Linked DNA regions of Drosophila melanogaster. The gene in region 1 interacts genetically with each later gene. Each region holds a gene or a part of one and is shown in the gene's direction. Other genes may lie near its edges.

Evidence for each region.
Region 2: of Alg3 (region 1) and grnd, changing one suppresses a phenotype caused by changing the other (phenotypic suppression), as found in Drosophila melanogaster (one study listed by BioGRID).

The regions. Positions count from the first base shown.
Region 1 is NT_033778.4:23,703,833-23,712,716, reverse strand, and holds Alg3 (ALG3, alpha-1,3- mannosyltransferase), read left to right. Parts: upstream 1-2,924; 5' UTR 2,925-3,003; coding exon 3,004-3,289; exon of another isoform or gene 3,290-3,540; intron 3,541-3,690; exon of another isoform or gene 3,691-3,858; coding exon of another isoform or gene 3,859-4,087; intron 4,088-4,131; exon of another isoform or gene 4,132-4,225; coding exon of another isoform or gene 4,226-5,563; exon of another isoform or gene 5,564-5,804; intron 5,805-5,939; coding exon 5,940-7,186; 3' UTR 7,187-7,278; downstream 7,279-8,884. Other genes in the region: CG5504 (uncharacterized protein), read right to left, coding at 3,859-4,087, 4,230-5,563; l(2)dtl (lethal-(2)-denticleless), read right to left, coding at 7,499-8,884. UniProt on the Drosophila melanogaster protein: Probable alpha-1,3-mannosyltransferase involved in the N-glycosylation pathway. Involved in glycosylation of the TNF receptor grnd, regulating its ligand affinity. Required for normal epithelial growth and architecture.
Region 2 is NT_033779.5:18,482,174-18,489,254, forward strand, and holds grnd (grindelwald), read left to right. Parts: upstream 1-3,243; 5' UTR 3,244-3,794; coding exon 3,795-4,029; intron 4,030-4,452; coding exon 4,453-4,761; intron 4,762-4,843; coding exon 4,844-5,025; 3' UTR 5,026-5,848; downstream 5,849-7,081. Other genes in the region: CG10283 (uncharacterized protein), read right to left, coding at 1,721-1,796; kon (kon-tiki), read right to left, coding at 5,901-7,081. UniProt on the Drosophila melanogaster protein: Acts as a receptor for TNF-cytokine egr. Plays a role in activation of JNK signaling and is required for egr-induced apoptosis, including in wing imaginal discs during development. May also play an egr-independent role in cell proliferation.

The DNA.
Region 1 (8,884 bases):
CGTGATCCAATATCTCTGTCCACAATAATCAGCACAAGAGGCGATAGTTTCGAACTCAAATGGGATTAATCCTCACTGGAATACAGCTCAAAACTGTTCGAAACTGCCAGCATGTAGGGATGTAGAGTCACTAAACTGAAAGCTTCTAGCAAGATATCAAATGGTTTTCAACAAAGCATGCTTTGCAAGCAAAAATGGCACTAGCAACTTTACGAACTTAGGTATTAACTACACTTTCACACAGTAGAACCTCCACTGTACCTGAAGCTCGGCAGAAAGACTTCGCAGAGCCATGGAACCCGCCTTGTTTACCCTACAGAGACTTTTTCCGGCTCGAGAGCCTCTGAACTGCCCCGCCTCCGTTTCTTCCGCCCATAGAGCGAGTATCATACGAACTGCAATAAGTGGCGGCGATAAATAAAGTACCCGTCCCCATTTTCATTTTATAGCCAGATCGTGAGACAATAAAATGCAAAGGCAATGAGTGCGCTGCTGGCAAGAGAAATTAATAAGCACTCGAGTGCAAAGTACTGCTCGCCGCTCGCCACTATCACTATCATAGGCCGAATGCTGTTGATTTGCATTACAGCGGCGGAGTGGGGGAAGTCGCTTATCAGCAATGGGAGCCACAGCAGCAGCGGGCTGATAGTGATAACAGCGCCGATACCGAAATACACACGTTGTGTCGGTGTGCGTGGCGTAGATTATTGTTATTATTGATTAATAAACAATTGTCTCACTCGCACAGAAAGTAGCTGAGGCTGTACGTATGTTGGTTTGTCTACACACATGGGTACATCTGTCGACTAAGGCGACGCGACCGATAAGGAGTGACCGATTTAGTTCTATAGTTCATGCGGAGATAGCCAACTCTTCGGACGCGATTGACCCACAAATATGGGGCGACAAACATGAAAACATATGCTTAAACTTATTTTGGTACGGGCCCCAAGAAAAAAGCACAGATCACTTAAATTAGTCAATATGCATGACTTGCCACATTACGCACGACTATCAGTATGTTTTATTATTTACAATTGTATAAACCTTTTAAATTATTTTATATTTAATTTGAATTACTCTCTCGAGCATGTTCTTTCTCCAGCGAAATGATGTATTCAAGCATATAAGCTTAATTAATGCTGGCATACATAATTAGTTTTGCTATCAAGGGACACACTTCAACATTTTTGCTAAAAAAAAGGGGAAACAAAGGATTATCAGAGTACAGAAAAATTTTACGGTAAAACTCCACTCATCTGTAGCAAAAATGTTTTTAAACAGATTTTTTTTGGAAAAAATGTAGCTGACAAAAATGGGTTATTGAATTCCAGTTCGCACGGATCCTCCGGCTAAATTCCTGTAAATCGCCGTGCACCTTTTTTCGCTACAGTTTTTCGCTTTTTGGATAATTGGTGGCATATCAGTGTTTCAGCTGGCTGACTGAACAGGTAAATGTCGGGAAAAAGCGACAACAGGGCCAACTATTTCGTGTTTTTCTTTTTCCGAGCAAACACGCTGCAGTGGACACAATAAATGAATCACGAAATGCGGAAAAAACACACAAGAGCGGGGCAGCGCCGGAAAATCGGGCAGCCATTCGCATCCGTGGGTTGACATTTAATTGCCCGGTGGGTCTGGGTGCGGGCCATTCCCCCGTCCAGAGTCCCGAGCCCTGGGTCCTGTGTCCTGCGTTCTGCGTTCTGCGTCCTGAAAAGGATGTGGGCTCGATGGTGGGTTAAGTGTGGTTGCGGCATGGCCACCATATCAGTTGTAACCCGATAAACGAGCTGCGTTTGCATGAGCACACCCTCGCCCGGCTTATGTTACCCCGTTTGCCTCTGGCAAATGCATCTCAGCGATGCGTTAAACCGCCAGAGCCACCCCAAAAACCACCCAAAGCCAGCAAAACCAGCCAAAGCACACGGACCACGACCGACTGTTTGCTATTGGGATGACGCCAGCGATGGACGTTAATCTGGCCAGCAAATTGGCCATGAGCTGATTGGTTTTGTACCTGTTGCGTATTCCCACCTGCAGTTCCGGTCCCCCGCCCCAAATGGGGCCCACCCATTTTGACCGAATAGAAGCGTTCGCCGTGTAGGAATTCTGCTAATTACTACATATATGTTATGGTTTAATCCACCCGCAGGCCTTACAACATCCAGCTGGCTAGGAAAAATGCAGCCATTCAAATTGTAAATACTCAGCAGGAACTAAAAGCAGTGGATGTGTTTCAAAATGCAATTGTCAAACTCATTGCTATTCAATAAAATTCAAGCAAATCCTCAAATAATGATATTTCTATTGTACTGTATTGAATCATTAACTCTTTTTGGCCAAATTATGAAGGTGAACCCTTAAATCAACCAAAAAATACGTATTTTGGCCAAAACAATCGATTTTATGGCCCAAATATTGAGTGTCATAGCTTGTTGAACTTGTATTCACATTCCTAATCGATTCCCATTCAAATTTGAAAATTTTAATTTTTGTCAATTTTTTGCAAATTTTAACGATGTAACCCCTTACAAAAAATGCAAAAAATGGCCAAAAATTTAATTATTGAAAATCGTCAAGATTGTGATTGGGATAGTTAGTTTGGATCATTAGGAGTCTAAAACAGTAATTTTTTTGAATGTGCGACTTTTTTTGGCCAAGTTATGAAGGTAGCCCTCCTTGGAAAACTCGTGTTTTGGCCACAATAATTTAGGTAGCAACCCAAATATACTTTAAAAATTAAATTACAAATATTTAAAAGCATTTTCAGCGTGATAAAATTAAATTTTCTTTTCTTGAAAACCAAGCAACAACCGGAAGCGGAAGACGCCACTGGTGCTCGCTGTTAGAACTACAAATTTAAATTGGGAAAATATCGATAGCATGCAAAATCCAGTTGGACTGCTATCGATGGGAGGCGCAACAGCTGATTTTGATAGTGCCGCCCTGGTTGTTTTTCGGTTCAAGTTGAATTTTAATTAATTTTCGCCGGTTATCACAGAAATGGCCCCGCCAAAGGCCGCCAGCCACCGTCCGGCGGTGCGGCGCAAGAAGTCGGGCACCCTGGTGGACTCCATCCTGGACAAGTACCTCAACGTGCGCTTCTTCAAGTATCTGCTCCTGGAGCCGGCCGCTCTGCCCATAGTTGGCCTCTTCGTGCTCCTGGCGGAGCTGGTCATCAACGTGGTGGTCATCCAGCGGGTGCCCTACACAGAGATCGACTGGGTGGCTTACATGCAGGAGTGCGAGGGCTTCCTGAACGGCACCACCAACTACAGTCTGTTGCGCGGTGAGTTTCTGCGCCGCTCCTGGTTTATTTTTGGCCACAGGTGACCCCATTCCGGTTGCGGAAACATATGCGTGCACCTGTTGTTCTTCGCATGATGTGGTTATAACGATATTTTAGGTTACCTTACTAAGGGGATAGCCTATTTCCAACTAGCTATATAGTTTATGCTCTTTTTTAGTTGGAATTCTTATAAAATTGATATTTCAGTTACTTTAAAGTTTGAAGTATTTTCAAAATCGAGGAGAGTAGTTTGACATATGGTTCAAATGTTTGAACACAGTTACCATCAAAGGTTAAACACAGAGATTTGGGGAGTTGGACGACATCAAATGCGGCACGAACTTTAGGCAACTGAAAATCGGAGCAGCGTGAGATTAAGACAAGTGAAGTTAGCCTCGCTTAAACGCAGAACTTGCCCGACTGACGGTCAATTTGGTTTATTCATCTCGAACCGAGTCGTATTTGGAATACACTCCCCCGGTTCCCGCCCGAACTTAGATTAGCAACAATAACGTGCGTTAACTTAGACACTAAAAAAACAGAATCGGCCATCGGGTTGCCAACGCCTGTCAGTTGAACATGGACTTGATCTTGCTTATGAAGCCTCCGCCTCCGCCGTCGCCTTGTCCGGATCCGGATCCGCCGCCTTCTTTCGCTTTGGTTTTCTCGTTGTCCGTCCACTGGTCTTTGCCTTCGCTTTTTTCTGCTCCTGGTCCTGGCTTGGAGGCTCCTGATCCGGCGGCTGCTGCACTGGCTTTAGCAGCTGCTCCCGCTCCTGGCTCCTCACTCGCTCCTGCGCTGCAACGAGAGATGGGGAAGGGGAGAGAAAGACGCCATCATTTAATAAAGCTCGCACATAGAACGCACGTATATTTCAACTACGAATTCAAGCTCCAAGTTACATTTAGAGATTGCATTGGTAGATCGGGAGATTATTTACGTTGCTTGCTTACTGCCGTCTTTGCGATTCGCGATTCCGTGGATCTGCCCGGGGGTGTCCTCCTCCAGCTCGGCGTACGCCTCGATCAGAGCCAGTCGCTTCTTGTCCAGCTTCTTTGCCGATGGCACCGTGATCTTGACGTGCACGTAATGATCGCCGTGTCCGTGGGCATTCACGCGTTTCAGACCCTTGCCGCGCAGCATGATCTTGTGGTGCGACGAGGTGCCCGGCTCCACGTTGATCCACTGATCCTCGTATACGCCCTGGACACGCACAGTGCCGCCCAGCACCGCCTGGGCCAGGGATATGGCCGCGTCCGTGTGCACATCGGCGCCCTCGCGCCGGAAGTAGTCGCTCCGCTCCACGCGGAACGTGACGAACAGCTCCTTGCTGCCCACCTGCATTCGCACCGTTTGCCCGTTCTCAATGCCAGCCGGCACCGGCACGGTGACCTTGCGGCGCTGGACCGTGCGGCCCTTGCCCTCGCACTCGCTGCACGGATACTTAATGTGCTGCCGCGTGCCCTGGCAGTAGCGGCAAGTGGAGCGCATTACGAAGGGCCCAGTGGACACCGTTTCGAAGCCGGTGCCGTTGCAGTACTGACAGCGACCTGGCTTGGTGCCCGGCTCGCACTTGGTGCCGGCGCACTTGGGGCACTGGTCCACCACGTTGACGTTGACATCCTTGTTAACGCCGCGCGCCGCCTGGGCAAAGGTCAGGTCCATGACCATCTCCTGGGCCTGGCCGAATCCGAACTTGGAGTCGGCGAAGTCGTCGAACGAGTTCGTTCGAAAGTTGCCCTCGCCGAAGATCTTGCGGAAGAGCTCCTCGGGGTCGATGCTCGAGCGGAACTGCCAGCTCTGCGAGAAACCCTCGGGGCCAAAGCCACCGGCTCCTCCGCCAGGGAATCCGCCGCCCTGGCGACCAATGTTTTCCGCCGTCTGGCCATAGGTGTCGTACTCACGGCGCTTCTGCTCGTCGCTGAGCACTTCGTAGGCCTCGGAGACCTCCTGGAACTTGCGGCCCGCATCCGGATCCTCCTTGTTCGTGTCCGGATGGTACTTCTTGGCCAGCTGGTAGTAGGCTTTCTTGATGTCCTTGCCGTTGGCGTTCTTGGCAACGCCCAGCGTGGCGTAGTAGTCCTTGGCCAGGAGGTCGCGCGTGGTGTGCAGGCGGCGCACTTGGGGTGCGTCTGCCCGGGTACTTCCGCTCCCGGCGCTGGAGAGGATTCGGTAGGAGGTCGCGCGTGGCGTGGAGAACGCGGCTGCCGCTAGGCAACGGCGCACCGCCGGCAGCTGCCGGAACACGAATAATTTTTTACACGAAATCATCATTTTTCCATAAAAGTATCAGATTTTCAGCTTTTCAACAACATGCCGTAACATCCATGCTGTCCTACGAATGTCTGTCTCTCTCTCTCTCACTCGCACTTGCTCAATGTGACCGCGTGCGTAGCGAGCGAAAATACCAACCGGCGTGAAAGCGAATGAAATATCGTTATATACCGTTAAAGTTAAAAAAGCCGTATATTAAATAAGTTAACTAAAGTTTTGCCTTTAAAATAAATATGAAGTGTAACTCAATGGATATAATAGTTTTCCCAGGCCCAAACAGACTGAAATAACTGCTTAGTGAATGAAAACAATGACTAATTGCATTCCTTCTATCTAATTTATGATAATTGAAATTCTTCGATTTTCGATTTCCTAGGCGACACAGGACCTCTTGTGTATCCAGCCGCCTTCGTGTACATCTACTCGGCTCTCTACTACGTCACGTCCCACGGAACGAACGTTCGCCTGGCGCAGTACATCTTCGCCGGGATCTACCTGCTCCAGCTGGCCCTGGTGCTGAGGCTGTACTCGAAGAGCAGAAAGGTGCCGCCGTATGTGCTAGTGCTCAGTGCCTTCACGTCGTATCGGATCCACTCGATATACGTGCTGCGACTGTTCAACGATCCGGTGGCAGTGCTGCTCCTCTATGCCGCACTCAATTTGTTCCTGGACAGAAGGTGGACCCTGGGTAGCACCTTCTTCAGCTTGGCGGTGGGCGTTAAGATGAACATCCTGCTGTTTGCGCCTGCGCTCTTGCTGTTCTACTTGGCCAACCTGGGACTTCTGCGGACGATCCTGCAGCTGGCTGTCTGCGGAGTGATACAACTGCTGCTGGGCGCTCCTTTCCTGCTCACCCATCCTGTGGAGTATCTGCGGGGCAGCTTTGATTTGGGACGCATCTTCGAGCACAAGTGGACGGTCAACTATCGCTTCCTGAGCAGAGATCTGTTCGAGAACCGCACCTTCCACGTTTCGCTTTTGGGCCTGCATCTGCTGCTCCTGCTGGCCTTCGCCAAGCCCACTTGGACCTTTTTCCAGAGCTACGTGCGCCTGCGCCGTATTGAGGATCAGCTGCAGCCGCAAATAGCCCAGCAGAACCTCGAGCTGAACGCGCAGAAAAGACCAAAGAAAGTGGAAAAGGACAAGGACAAGGACCAGAAGAAGTTTACAACCGAGCAGCAATCCTTCCTGAAGGCCTTCGAGAAGAGCCTGCAGAAGGCGTCTGGAGGAAAGGCCACTCCGGCACCCGCACAGGCGGAACCGGAACGCTATGGCATCCACTTCGATCGCTGCACCCAGCTGGCCCTGCTGCCGTTCTTCCTGTGCAACCTGGTGGGCGTGGCCTGCTCCCGATCCTTGCACTATCAGTTCTACGTCTGGTACTTCCACTCGCTACCCTATTTGGCCTGGTCGACGCCGTACTCGCTGGGCGTGCGCTGCCTGATCCTCGGACTGATTGAGTACTGCTGGAACACCTATCCCAGTACGAACTTCTCCAGCGCTGCCCTTCACTTCACCCACATCATACTGCTCGCTGGGGTGGCCAAGCAGCTTGTCCAGACCATGCGGATTAATAATGCGGCCAAGAGGGAGCAGCAGGAGCAACAGAAAAAGCTGCAGTAAAATGGTCTGAGTGCCACTTGTTAGCCATGAGTGCCACATATAAACCGTTTTGATTATGCCAAAAAAAAAATTGAATAAACAGTACATTAAACGAGTTAGTTTTTAGAGAATCAATCAAGGCAGCTTTAAAATGGAGTTACTTTTATTCGGGTACGTTAGTCTTTCGTATCTTTTGGCTCTGTACAGAGGGCGGGGAGTTGGTTACCAACTCGTCCCGCGATAGATGCAACCTACTATCTACATAAAATAACTTAAACAATGTCCGCTTAAAACTACAAGTGCAATAATGGTGCTGTGGCTCGAGGCTCCGCGTCAATCGCTGCCCACCGCCGTCGTGGGCGTGCGCATGCTGAGGGGCGTGGCTGCGGGCGCAGTCACTGCCGGGGGATGGGGATCAGAAGAGGAGGGAGCCGCATTCGTTGTCGTTGTTTCCTCCGCCGGCACACTGCTACTTCTCTGAATGCTAAAGAATCGCAGGAGCGTCGTCTCGCTGTTTCGCCTACTGGAAGTGGGCGTTTTTGGCTGGGATTGGGAATGGGAGTGCGAGGAGCTGCCAGCCGGCGTGCCACCGCCTCCGTCCGTATGGGAGATGCGTCTGCGGGGCGAGGCGTGTATCCTGGGACTGCACTCTGACTGCCGCAGACTCTGGAGGCGCGGGGATGCCAGCACATCGGCCTGCTGCTCCTCGCTGATCTTTTCGCTGAGCGTCACATGGGCCCTGCCACTCATCAGCTTCTGTTTGCGGATATTCGTCAGCCAGTCCACCTTCTCCTTCGCCTTCCGCTTGGGCGACATGATGCCCAGGTGCGGTGCCTCGCCATCCAGCACGTAATTGGGCAGGTTGGAGGTGGGCGAGTAGATGGCAGCGGAGATCGGCGGCGGATTAAGCGCGTCTGCAGCCACCGCTGCTGCTGCCGCTGACGTGGTTGGCGGGGAGGTGTACACATGGTTGACATTCTCACTCAAAGGGGAATGACTTGGTGTGCTGAGAAGCTTGTGCAGTGGTGAGACATCCTCCGCGGCAGAGTTCTCCTTTTGTCTCTTGCTCGGCGAGGCATCTTCCTCGTTTATGGACTGAAGTTGTATGTGCCTGCAAGCAGTTTCCTGGCTAGAAGGTCCAAAGAGCCGCCTTCCACGTGACTCCAGTGGCTTCGCCCGTTTCTGGGGCTGTTCTGTGGCTTCCGTCTCCTGGCCAGCTACGCCCAGCATTTCCAGGAACGAACGCTTGGTCGTCGTCTTTTCCACGGAACCTGGCGTCCTTTCATTTTGATCCATAAGGCGCTTCAGAGATCTTGGCGTGGACTCCAGATCTCGAAGATTGTACTTGTGATTTCCACTAGACGGACCAAATGCCTTCTTGCCGAACTCCCTGACGTAGGAGGCAGTTCCTCGGTACTTTTCCGCCCGCTCCGCCTCGCTGAGGCCATCCAGGTCGGGTCCAATCCGCCAGATTTTGTGACGCGCATCATCGCTGCACGTGACAATGGGGCAATCGTGGCTGGAGCCCCAGGCCACGCAGGTTACCTCCACCGTGTGTCCGGCCAGTGCAACGAGCGGCTCCTCGGCGTGGTCCAGGTTCCAGATGTAAGCCCGCTCGTCGCTGCTTCCGCTCAGCAGATACTTGCCGTCCGGGCTGAGGCAGGATTTGATGTAGAACGTGGAGTTAAGGAGTCCCTTGTAGCACGCCAGCGGGCGCTG
Region 2 (7,081 bases), on another chromosome or scaffold:
AAGATACAAATGCTGGGAAACAGCCTTTTTGCATTTCTGCACTGTGCGAAAAACTTATCGAATTCGGTGGTCTATGGTTCTTCAAATAGCCACAGTTTTTTGAAAACAATTAGCAAACATATTTTTAATATAAACCTTATTTAATACATTTCTGAGTTCAACGAGATTTTCTTTACACATAAAGAATAAAATCTTTTCTGAAAATATTATTATTATTAATCAAGCTGGAATTTTATCTTCAAGTATTACTTATTTTTTCCTACCCTATTTGCGCTTCTATTGTAATCATTATTTTACAATATATATAATTAGACTAGTATAATGTGTATATACTTTTATAAAACAAAATCTTTATAATGGTAGATAACTGATTTTTCTTCAGGTGCATTCATTAAATGGAAAGTGCTAGCGGCAATCATTTTTTGCACCTCCAAAAAGAAGAAAATGAGTATGTATTTTCCCTTTCTGTAGCGGGGATCGCTCGGCTTCCCCTCAATTGCTCTAAAAGAAAACTATATAAGAGCTCGGTGTTTGTTTATTTTTCAACTGAAATCTCTTCTTCACAGCTTTGTCCGCTTTCGGTCGTTGGTCTGCGCTATGCGGTTTCTTCGGCTGCTGACTGGAAGTCTTTGTTTTTGTTTATCGTCTCATGAAGACTTTCAAAACCCCCCAAAAAATGAGGAAACTCGCCAACTTCTTGTGATTGTTACTGGGAGTGGAGAAAGTTTTATTCGGCTCGCGTTTTCTGTGTATTATTTTTTCTTCTTTGGGCAATCTGTTTCATTAGCATAACAACAAATATTGTTCACATAGTAGCCAAAAAAGAGATTTGCACAACAGCCAAATCTTTGTCATCGAGCATTTCGTATTCGCTTTCAATTAATTGAGCTTATTCAAAGAGGTGAATAAGCTAGCTTTTCATGTTGTAACATTTTTTCTATGCAAATGTTTTGATTATTACATAAGGTCAAGTAGAATGCGATAAGGGAAAACGTGCTCGATATGGCTTGTTTACATCTGAATCAACAGAAAAAAACTTATATTTAAGCCCCAAGGCGCAAACGACAGTGGAGAAGTTCTGAGAACTTGAGTGTTTGTTTTTTTTTTTTGGCTGATGTCGGCATTCAAAGATATCGGATCGGTGGAATTAATGGGATATGTATATTGGAATGGGGTATGAAAAGCGTTAGAACATTTATAATTCGTGATGTCTTGAAAGAAATGCCAAATTGAATAAAATGTGTGGACTAAAACCTTTTATATTTGCATATATTAGACAAAAATATTTGTTTAATTTCCAAATTTGATTTATATTCAATTTTGCAAGAAGGGTAAAGACAATATATATTTAATGAACTTTTTGTGAAGAATTCTCAACGAAACAATGGGCCTGACTTTCTTTATGAATAAATGGAAACAATAAATGACAACAAATACAACAAATTTGTTAAAAATTAATTTGATCGCTAGAGAGGTCATATCGTTAAAGAAATACCAAGTCAGGGGAAGAAAACGTTGAAGAGGAATTTTAAAAGACCTCAAATTAATCACTTCTATGTGGTGCTCATGCCCCCCCCGCCCCAATTCCAAAGCCCCTTCATCTCAATAGCTACACTCAAACCCAATCAATTTCCAATTATCCAAGGCCCCGTACGAAATTGTTCATGTTCAACCAATTTCGAAATGGTTTGCTTCGGTTCGGTTCTTAACCCATGCTTACCCTCATTAACATGTCCTGATCGGGGCAGCGCTTCCTTTGGTGGTGCGGCTGCTGTTGTGGTTGTGAAATTATTCATCTCTCTCCTCCTCTCGCCACCCTTCTCTTTCTAACAGGCTCTGGCTGTCTCTTTCGGTGGCTCAAATCTCTATAGAATATCTGTATCTCGTTCTAAAACAGGTGTTTAAATTGGGTAGCTCAAGGACGCGCCTTCCACTCCACTGATTTTTAATTTATGTTGGTTTACTTGTTGAAGCGGGCTGGCAAAATAGATACATAGATGCGGCGATACAGAGCGTGAGTAAACTATATTTTCATCTAATTGCGTCGCTCTCGGTGCAACTATTTCACTTTCACACTTCCACACGAGATATAATGCTTATAATTCCACAATTTCCACCATCAACACGCGCGCAACAACGACAGCTGCAATTCAAAATTCGATTTGATTTAGGTATTGTATCCCAAAGATACGCAACGAACCGGCGGCCGTCGTTCCACGAAAGCAGCAAAACAGCTCATTCAACAGCGAAAGCCGCTCAGCGAATGGATGTTGTTTGACTTGGCCATACAGTCCAGCTAACTGGAAGACACAATAATACTGCAAGCGGCGCTGGAACTGGAAGCCGATACAAATGTATCTCGAAAGCGGCACTGCAATGGAAGAGAGAATAAGAGAGAGGAGAGAGAATAACTCAAAACAGTGCTGCCAAGTTTCAAAAAGATTTCAAATCTAAATACAAAAAGTTATAATTTTACTATTGATTTATAAATTCATTAAACGGTATATATGTACATATGGTTTTTTATTATTATTTAATTTTCCAAAATGAGTTGGGAGCAACGAATTTCAGTATTTCTTTTATTTATGTATATGGCATTTGCTGTTTAGTAAAGACATACACCATTGCGTTAGCTAAGCGAGGTTTCAATCCTCAACAAATGCTACACTTAAAAAATTCCAAAATCATATTTAATTAGATAAAAATTGTGTAGCTAGAAACTTGTTTATAAATATCACGACTGCTAGTTAGTTGTGAAAGTAAGGTATTATAATTAAAATTTAAATAATAGGTAATGTTGTAAAAAAAACTTTAAACGTATAGTTCATATTGGGATACTGGGAATTTCAATAAAAGTTATCTTAAACATATTGTCGTTTATTCATATAAAACTTTATTATTATTTTAATTGATAACTTGGGTAATAAAGTGAGTGAGCAAGTAGTCTCTATAAAATACTTCTTGAGGCACTACCTTCTCGTTGTTATTTATTTTTATAAGTCAAATCGCAGCCGAAATTTAAGAAACTGAAGCCGGGTTCAAAGTATGCCGAAGTCGGGAGTATTTCACTCATAGCGCAAAATAAACAGTCGATCGCAGACACACAAATACTTGTATTACTTGCCACAGCATAGATATACAGATACTTTTGCATCTACAATCGACGTGAAAAAGGTAAACAAAAGTCAAGTCACGGTGCGAATGAGTGTGTATTTGAGATAGATGCCTCGGTGCGAGTGCTGAGTTGTTGGTAACAGCGAGCGATCGCGGCATTCCAGTCAGTAACGAGTTGAATGTGGCTCAAAACGCGTCGCTGAACGATGGCTAAAAACGTTTAAAGTTAAAAAGCGTATTAAATCATATAATATATAATATATTGGTGTAAAAAATACAGAATTAAACCTAATAATTAAGTGTCCGGACATCCCCTAGAAAAATGTGTGAAAATGTTGAGAAACTAACCGGAATACTATGAAAACTGCTGTAAAACTTGGCTAAGATAAACTCGTTTGCACCAATACACATGTGATTATACGTATAAGGGCAACGCAAAATACTCAGACTCCAGAAGCCAGCAATTAAAAAAGAAGTTAGTCAGTTAGCGTCTGGGCCGCGTTACTGGTGTATGAATCATACTTTGGATACGTTTAAAAATAACAAAACAAAAACCTTAAAACGAGGAAAAAGTTGTAACAGTGCTAATGTAAACTTCGATCAAACTTAGCGGAACGAGCTCGCTACAAAACCAAATACCCATAACAAGTAAATTAAGCACACATTATAAAATACCTCAAATGTCGGTCAGGAAGTTGAGTGCCCTATCGCTCTCCATTGGTGGAGTTCCGTTGATTCCAAGTGTTTCCTTGGTAGCTGCGGCCAATGGAGAGAGTAGGGATTGCCATGGCACGATCTGTCATCCGGTCAATGAATTTTGCTATGTTGCAACGGAGAGATGTCATCCGTGCATCGAGGTCTGCAATAATCAAACCCACAACTACGATGCGTTTCTGTGCGCCAAGGAATGTTCAGGCAAGTAGAATTCAAAGATTTCCAAAAGATTACCTCAGATTAACTCACGATCCATAGGGTAATTTGGCGGGTTCTATGCAAGTTCAGGTTTTTCCAGCTGGACTTAATTGTATTTCAATTACAGTTGCTTCAGCGGGTGATTAACTCATCACCCATGAGTTGACTAAAATAGGGGGTATTTTAAAGATTTAAAGAATGTACATTTTTATAATAAAAATGATTTGTTGAAACTAGCTTTATAATAATTTTTTTAGTGTAAAAGATTTGTAAAAGTTGTAATGGCAAGATAAGGCCAGTTGCATTTGCAATTTTTATCTGACTATGTACAACGAGTTATCAAAAACGTTCCCGTGTTTTATCAATTATTATTTACTTAAAACGATAATAGTAGCGATATTATTTAATTTCTTTATCAACCCACAGCTTACAAGACATTTGAGCCGTTAAAAGCCGAGATGCTGGACATCCAGAATACCCAGCAGCTGATCCTCTTGCTGCTGACTATCCTTCTCGTCCTGATTGCGCTTCGTTGCGCGTTTCAGTTCCTTCGATGGCTGATAGGCAATCGGTGCTTCCAGAAGCTGATGCGCCGTCTCCAATCGAAGGCCTACCCTCATCCGGCAACTGCAAATGGAAAGGATCTTAATGCTACCACCATACAGAATCTGAATGCCATTAACCATCCCGGCAGCGACCTTGAGCGGGCACAATCACAGATCTACAGTGTGGCAGGTAAGTGTAAGGATCTACCTGTCCGGGTTTTTCCAATAACACTTCCCAATGTACACATTATACCTGCAATGATTTATTACAGGTGCTGCCGAGGGTTCCGTTGTGACTATGACAACGCCGGTGAGCACTCGCTATCCGGCGGAAAACAGTACCACGCCCACAACGGTTATGACGGAGATCGGATACGGATACGATAATCAGGCCATGGTCGTAACGCCGGTTTCCGAGAAACCCTCAGCAGCGACGATTCCCGTCGCTTTCTAAGGCCATACAAGTACTTGAAAACTCTTACTTCTAAATCAGTCCAGCGAAAGCAAAATGTGCACCACATTAAAACTAGTGATATTTTTCATAGTTATTAAGCAAGAAGTCTTCTATCAATATGGAATATATACGCATATCTGTAGAATATAAACCTTAATTAATAGGTTTATATATGTTGGGACATATTTTTGATAACCCAATGTGGCCCTGAAAACTTATATTCGATCTGTATGAAATTATATGTAAAGGAACTTTTTTCTCTTTACTTTAATATTTTCCTTAAAGCAACGAAAATACTTACAACATCACAACTATGAACGAAGAGACATATTTATAACTGTTAAGAAATATATTTATAATGTTCAATTTATTATCATGTTAAGTTTTTTATGTGGAAAAGTTTTGTAAATGGTAATATGGGGGAAAACCAATTCATTCGCAATCACCACAAACGTTTCTCAACACACTTCCATCCGGTTAAAATAATTACGAATGCGAAATAAATCTTCCTGAAAATTTTTTGAGTTTTGAAATAAGACACGGGAACTACGCTTAAAAGTATTGTCATTTATTGTAAAAAGTATTCCACGTTGGCAAACACAATTCTAAGGCTAAGTTAAGTTGGCTTTTTGAGTATAACTCTTGTTCTCGTCCTTAATGCTAATCGTTTGTATATGACACGCCAGATATGTATGTGTGCTTGTTTCCAAACTATAATTAATGTTTTCGTATATAAAATGCTTCACTTTTCCTAACGAATCTCATAAATCAGCCTTAAACGTAAGCTTATATTTAAATAAATAACCTAGGACTAATTCCGATCGAATTGGAAACGCTTGTATTGATCCCTTTATTGCAGAACATCCTTCTAAACCTTACACCCAATACTGATTCCGCCTAAGTAGTGGATTTGTTGGCGGGGCCGAGGGCGGTGAGCTGACCGATCCGGAAATACTTTGTGGCACAGAGGCATAGCCAGCAAAATCATTCGCCATATCGCAGGACGAACTCCAGGCGTCGTGCTCCATGTGATAAGGATTATATCTCTGCGGCAGCATCATTTGCTGCGGATCGCACTGATCGTCCGTCTCCTCCTCATCGGGATCGTAGTCGGGATACTCATGTTTGTACGACTCCACGGGTATTATCTTGCAATGGGGAATATTGCTGAAACCCGGTAACGGTGTTGAATTTCCTGTGGCCGGCACGGAATCCGCCTCGGAACTTGCGTAATGGTGGCCATGATGATGGTGCAGATGGTGTTGCGGACTCACAGAAGTCAAGTCTGGTGGACACGGTAGCGCCGGCGGCTGATCCTTGGATATATCTGCCTTGTGCTTTCTCAGTTTCCTGATCTTTAATATCAACAGCACGATAAGCAGGCATATCAACACGATAAAGATGGCACATCCTATGGCTAAATAGTTAATGGATAATCCTGCACTGCCCAAATGAACCGTCTCGGTTTCCTCAACACGACTTCTATACTCAATCGATACGGTGGCCTGTGCCGGCTGAACTGTTTTGATTAGCAATTGATAATCAAAACTGTCATGATCAGCTTCTGTTTCCTCGACCGATTCATGGGGCACAAAGTAGACGACGCCACTTCGAAGTTCTTTATAAGAGAATATATTCGTGGATCTATCACTCTGGCCATCGGTTGTCAGTCCCGTGCTTCGGATTATCTTTCTGATTTGCCCAGTTGATGGCATTCTAGTGATCACAAACTTGGGGTTGAATTTATTTAGTTTCAACGACAAAGGATTATCGTTGTCCAAAGAGGTAATAAGCTTTATTTTACCACCCGAGGATTCAGCTTCCTTCATTACTATATCATTGATTTGTATTACAGGTTCCACCTCCATTACCACATCGACCTGAGCAACATAATTGGTGCCCGGAACATAGGCACTCACCTGGAAGGAGTCATTCGATCGGTTCAGGTCTGTTTGCATATAGCTTATCTGTGATGTTTCCAACTGTTGTTGCGTGAACCTCAGAGTTGGTTGATGTTTGTACACTATAATGCCAAAAAGCGGCGAGTTTGTGACGT